2 linked regions of the Coturnix japonica genome follow. The protein of the gene in region 2 purifies or fractionates together with the protein of the main gene of each other region. This does not show direct contact. Links are inferred from orthologs where the notes say so. Each region holds a gene or a part of one and is shown on either strand. Other genes may lie near its edges.

The links.
Region 1: the proteins of TACC3 (region 2) and ENAH purify together in Homo sapiens (co-immunoprecipitation; 3 studies listed by BioGRID and IntAct, with this or other methods). This does not show direct contact. The link is inferred for Coturnix japonica from reciprocal best matches to the Homo sapiens genes TACC3 and ENAH.

Annotation. Positions count from the first base shown.
Region 1 is NC_029518.1:15,085,872-15,089,698, reverse strand, and holds part of ENAH (protein enabled homolog), read right to left. Parts: intron 1,888-3,827; coding exon 1,722-1,887; intron 605-1,721; coding exon 427-604; intron 1-426. UniProt on the Homo sapiens protein: Ena/VASP proteins are actin-associated proteins involved in a range of processes dependent on cytoskeleton remodeling and cell polarity such as axon guidance and lamellipodial and filopodial dynamics in migrating cells.
Region 2 is NC_029519.1:76,056,109-76,059,015, forward strand, and holds the end of TACC3 (transforming acidic coiled-coil-containing protein 3), read right to left. Parts: coding exon 2,817-2,907; intron 2,014-2,816; coding exon 1,907-2,013; intron 1,738-1,906; coding exon 1,617-1,737; intron 785-1,616; coding exon 716-784; 3' UTR 608-715; downstream 1-607. UniProt on the Homo sapiens protein: Plays a role in the microtubule-dependent coupling of the nucleus and the centrosome. Involved in the processes that regulate centrosome-mediated interkinetic nuclear migration (INM) of neural progenitors.

The sequences.
Region 1 (3,827 bases), on a different chromosome or scaffold from region 2:
AAGTTCAGAGGTTAAAAAAAAGTCTAAGATGTTCATAATAAACAATTACTCCTGGGAAGGAAAAAACATTGACACGCATTTAAAGCACTGAATAGTTTTAGAAATCCTGAAAAGTACCCTGATTAAGAGTTACATGTTTCTTGATAAGGTAATTTTTTTTGTTTCCCAAAAAACATGAAGTCAGTAAGTTTCTACGTATAAGAGATACCATGAAAATAGATTTTGTTTTTACAAGCTGCATCCACATGGATGGCATCAGATTAAGAATCGCTGTTAATCAGCAGCACAAAACACCCAAAGAAGTAAATGCACTAGAGGCTTAATCATGACTAGAAACAAGACCTACTGACTTTTCTGCATAAACATTCAAATGTTTCCATCCCTATTTGATCTCTACTTAAAAAAAAAAGAAGTTAAAAGACTTACCAGCTTCCTGTGAATTTAATACTTCTAAGGCATGCATCATGGCACTTGCGAAGACGTTGGCATCTTCTTTGCTGCCAAAATTCAGACCATACACTTGTCTAGCATCACGCCACTGATGAAAGGTCTGTGTAGCCTGATTGTACTTGAGCCCTTTTGGAATGGCACAGTTTATTACCACCTATAACAGTTAACAAACGAAATAAATAAAATTGCTGCTTCATTGCAAGTTTCATTTAGATTTTACGGAGCAATATAAAGAGTTCTGACTTTTAGTAGCAAAGTAGTTGTGAAAATGCATCTGGATTTCAGAAACTGCCTTGGTTTTCTATTAATCTCAGAGTACTTGTTAGAATACATGTATATTTTTCATGAAATTATCACCTTCCTCCTGTGGATGCTGCATCCCTTAGCTTGCAGTGCTTTCAGCAGCAGCTTACATGGACTTCTACTACACATCATAAGGTATCATCCTGCAAGACTGTTACAGCTCACACAAAAGGTGATAAATTCTACCAGTACAGCAACCATTTATTATCAGCCATCCACTAAGATCTCATTGCACTTGGATAACAATATCTTCTCAGTATTTTCTGCTAACAAAAAAAAAAAAACACCAAAAAAACCTGTCCTTAGATGAATACACAGGTATTATTTATTTCAACAAGTTCTTAGTGAGAAATCAGACAAGGTATTTTCAGACTACACCTCACGTACATGACAGAAGATCAACAGAAGAGAATCATTTCATGAAATGCTGGGAAAGGAGTGATAGATAGAAATTTTCCTCAAACAAAAAGATAACTCCAAGCAGAGCAAATTTTAAGACAGAGTGCCAGACTGTTATTTAATCAAGATCTATTAAATTCCTCAGCAAGGAATCACAGTTTAATCATTACTGCTCCCTTCTCCAGTCCTCAGGGTAGTAGATGTTTTTTGGAATAAACTGACCTGAGGAAATGAGCAAGAAGAAGCAAGAAGCAAGAATAGAAGTCCTTAGATTTAAACTTTGGCTTAAAGAGAACCACATAACCTATATCTACACTACTATTCTTCCTCCCTGCATTTCCTGTAGGACGGAATGCTAAAGACTGCACAAGGAGAATCACTTTAAAGATATACAAAGAGTTTAGTTTTATGGGGAAAAGTTATAATAAAGTTTCATCATTCAAGTTAAAAATGAAAGTAAATTTACTATTTGTAGCTCCCAAATTTCTGAAGATGTATTTCTTAGTGTTAACAAGAAGCAAAAAAATTAGCTTGAAGTTCTTATTCAAATTTTTCAGAGATTCACTTACCTGATGATCTTGAATCTTCCTGCCCACAACTCTGAATGTGTTGTTGCCTGTGTGATGATATATGTGAACTCTGCTGAATCCAGTTGATCCACCAGCTGGTACCCATTTCTTATTGGCATCATCATAGACCATTACAGCAGCTCGTGCTTGGCAGATACTCTGTTCACTGTTAAAATACAAGTATTTCGGATCAGAACATTAAAATTCTTTTCACTGAGAAAGTTAAGGTAGCGCTCCTTGCATCTTACTCACTTTCCATTAATTCAAAACTGCTATCATTCGACAATTTGCTAACAGGCAATCTTCTGAGCACGTGCAGTATAGACAAGTACAGTACAACTACTAATAAAAAAAAGCATTTCCTTTCTTTGCACCTTTTCTTAGCAGTTTTCTTTACATATTTTCTTTTGTCCTCTTCACCACTTAAGAACTTTCTAATCAAATGCTAAAGCAATATACAACATTTTGGACCAACAGTGAAGAACAAAGAATCTGGAGCTGTACTAGCTTCATACAACTTGCATTTTCCAAAGGGCAACTACTTCTACAAGAAGACTGGAATGCCCCGGCTCCTGTTAACATATATGAGGAAACAAATACAAATGCATGCAGGCACACATAGATGAGGTTCAGCGCACAGAAGTTTATCTTCTCATAAACAAAATGCTTTTCCATTTTGATGTATTTTACATCAGTTAGCACCTGGAATTTACATTTCCTCCCTAAGGAAAGGTTCTGTTGATTACTGAAAACTGCAGTTTCAACATCAGGGGACTTTACTGACGTCCACAGCTAATCCTGATTACAGCAGTCATCTGAAAGCTAAGGCACAGCCTAAAGTTAAAGGGAGAATACCATGAATGGCATCATAACAGAAATGAAACTAAGGAAAGCAGAATGTACTGGAAACAGGATTTATTGGAGGGGTGTGGATGGGACAACACAAGTTGTCTTTGCAGGAAATGTCCAGATGCAGACAGGACATAAAAATAGAAAGGAATGATTTCTTATCAGTATGCCAAATTCTCTGAACACTGCACTCCAGCAGACCCAGCATTACAGAAAACACATGAGATGCCTGGCTTGCAAAGAATGTGGTGCACCCAGTTGGAGGACGGAGAACGCTGAGGAGACATGCATTTATTTAGTTTTTTAAATGAATCACAGAAGGATAGTCATGAAATATTTGTCCATAAAATATCAAAGTGGAGAACACAACTCCCCACACAGCCCTACTAAAAAAAAAGACAAGAATCAAGAGATTTCCCAGTATCTCATCTCCAGACACAAGAAAACACAGAAACACATCCAGCTGCTTTGCTAGCTTTCAATGACAACGGTTTTGACAAAACACAATTTCCACCACACTTCCCCCACAGCTCTCCAGCAAACAGAGTAAATGCTCGACACCAGAATAGTGGAGAAGAGAGAATAAAGAAATCACGCTTCTTACAGCAGCAACAGATTCAAGATCAGATGAAGAAATACACTCTCAACTCTAAAATGACATTTATTCTAGTCTCACAATCTAAGCTCATAACAGGAGAACAACCTTTCAGTAGGCCACCTTTTTTTCCAGACAGAAATAATTTAAATACAGGTAGAGTAAAATTATAACATATGAACTATACTGGGAAAAGAAGTACAGTATACACATCTTAAAATCTACCACTTAGACCTAAAGGACCACATCTGGTCCGTATCTGGTCCAGAGAGAAACATTAGCCGCAAAGACTCTCCTACTCCTGTGAATAAAATATCTAATCTCAGGAGCTTCAAAAGTCGTATTAAAAAGCACAGCACAGGTAGGATGGCGTTCCCTCATCTGAGCAGAGTGCAATTCAAAAACATATTAGATTTCCCTATTTAGACTATTTTGGCAACAATCTTACCAATGTTCAGATCCAGAAATACTCAGCATTGTTCACAAAGTAAAAACTAGTGGTTTTCCACATTACAGAGAAGTTTGAACCTACAACAGTTTTCCTAAGTCTGAATCTGGGTTCACCATAGGCATGATAAACCATAAGTGACAGCGCCTAGATACTGATTTGGAAACAGAGCCACGTGGCCTGCAGAGTTCCCGTCAAAAAATAACTTCACCTC
Region 2 (2,907 bases):
ACTTCAGCTCAGTTATGAGTATGTACAGACATGTACACAGACAAATACAACACAAAATAAAAGCTGAAGTTGTAAGTTTTTACAGCACTAAATGAACAATCCCATCCCAAAGTTCAGGTTGCAAGTGCACAAAGTACAAAGTAGTTCTATACATTCTGCTTACTACTCACTGTCAGGATTAGTAATCGGCCTGGTTTGCTGCAAACATCGAGAAAGTCTGCTGAAGCTTCTCAACCATAAGCAATGTCCTTTTAGAATGAGGGAATATAAGTCACAACTGACAGGACAGAATTTCTGCATAAACTTTCAGTTCTTTCTAGCATCTGCTGGCAGGTCAAGTTCTGTTACAGTCCTGTATCTTTGGAATGTTTTGACTGAAATTAGAACAAAGTGCAAGATACAGACACGGCCCATGATGACCCTTATCAATAGAGCCAGATCATAACACAGGAGCTGTGTGCTCTCACACAGAGAAGAGACTGAGGATACAACTAAAAGCTTTTCCTTTGAGTGGCATACATCAAAATGCTACACAAGATGCTGACACCAAAAGCAGCAAGTGAACCTGTCAGTAAGTTGACATTTCCTGCAAGAGATACACAAGAAGTGCAAATTAAGTATTTTATTTTTTTTTCTCCACATACATAATTAAAAACAAGAATGAACACAGGACAGGAAATCAAAGAAACTAGACATATTTACAGAGACAACTGAGTTAGTCATCTTTTCCCATCTTCAGAATCAAGTCATCACAAATCTTCGTTAGTTCATCATTTTCTTTTGTCTGTTAAAGATAGAAAAAGAAGAGTTGCAGGTATGTGTAAGCTAAGTTAAAGGCAAGTAGTGACCTTTCCTAGCATACAACAGAAAGTTCACTTACATGCTAGCAAACTATATAGGTTTAACCCAAAGGACAGTCTACTTTGTAAAAATTCCCAAGAAGTGAGCTAAATTCACTGTACTTTCTGCTTCTGGATTTCCTTAGAAGAATTTGTCTATAAAGATCATAGGTACATGATTTTTAGACACATTCATTTTGTTAGGTATACTGACATTTGAAATGATAGCAACAATTTAGATCTCACAACACAGACATCTCTGTAGAACATTTCCACTTATTTGTTCCAGTAAATGAAACCAATGTGCCTTTAAGAAGCATCTTAAAACTTCATCTATGCAGTATGAAGACTGCAATCCAAACCAAGGATTTAGAGCCTGAACAACATTGAAAGAGTTTGTACTAGTACTAATGGCTTACAGAGTAAATGCTTATTAGATGTGCTAATTCAGACAGTTATTCAAGATTGTTCACAGCTTCTACTCTTGGAGATGCTTAAGTTTTAGAACACCATCTCCATTAGTAGTTCAGATGCAGCAACCTGGACTGATCAATTCTGTGACTCGTCTAAAGGAACAAGCCTTTCTGTTCCAAAAAAAGATCTGTATATACAAGGTGAGTCTTGACATACTTGACTTCTGCCTTAAGCTTCAATGCTTATTTCCCAAAGCCCACCTAGAGAGCAGTCTCCAAAACCAGCACACACAGTGGTACTGCTACAAGATCTCGAGGTAGTCTAAGGCAATAGCTTAAAGAGACTCATGGCATTTTGACAAACCTTTTGTTCAAGGCTCCTCTCTAAAGACTGGATCCTCATCTGTTCTTTGCGGAGACTGGCTTGTAGGGCTGCAGTTTCTGATTTAGCTTTGTTTCGTACCTGGGCAATTTCCTCATTTGCTCTGGAATTGAAGAAATACGGGCATTTATATTCAGACAGCATAGCAGAACAGTTCATAGAATCACACTAGTTCATTGTACTTGAACAGTAATAAGAAAAATATTTTAAGCCAAGATTTGGCATTAACGGGCCACATTTTACAGCAATTAGCTTTTTCTCATAGTACTTACTGTTGCAGCTTTTCTTCAGCATGTGCCTTTAGTGCCTGGTATCTCTGCTCTTCTTTCTTAATTCTAGCTAGATACTCTTCAGCACATTTTTTCAAAGCCTCTTCATTCTGACCCAGAAACATGTTTAGTTAGATTTTATGTACTTGTAGGTGGAAAAGTCTAACTCCATTTCACAAATCAGCTACTTAACCGTACCAAAATGACAGCATTTGCTCAGAATACTAAGTACAATTATCAACTTCCATAAAAGCATGGAAACAAGTCTAAGTCTTTCTACTAATTACAGCTCTTGAACTTAGCAATTCACTCTGCTTCTAAAAGATGCTTTAGTTCTGTGCTAAGGAAATAGCTTCTGAATTCCAAATGCAGCAATAGAAGGGATGCATGATAAAGGAAGTCATGCATAGGTTTATGTTAAATAAGCTTATGCAATTCATACAAGTCACCATAGTCTGTGATCCTTATTAGCTCCATTATTCCAGTCCATGGATATGTTTACCAGTTTAAGCTAAACAATCCAGTAAAGTATGAGTTTGACTTGTAATAGAAAACCTTCTTCAGCATCCATTCAGTGCTACGTATGCAAAAACAAGTTGCCCTCATGCAACAATTAGTTACATGGGATTTATTCTCTGTGCTTAACAGAAAAAATGATATGCATACAAAAGGAGAAAGCTCATTTTGTTTGAGGAAATCTTGTCTTCTAACAGAAAGTTCATCATCACACTTTAAACCAGACACTAAATATAACAGGTCATTTTTTAATCTTTAAAGCAGACAACTTGTTTTACAGGTAGTACATCCGCCATTCAATTAATGGCTGCAGAAGAAATTAGTAACTTCCTTTCCACCTTCAAAAGATCAGAAGGCTAATTTATCTTAAAAGATCGTTTGCTCTACAGCATCTTACTTTGCGGTAACCCTCCAGCACTTCTTTCTGTTTTTCAAAACGCTTGAAGAGTTCAGAGAAAGATTTCTCCATAGAGTTCAGATCTGAAATA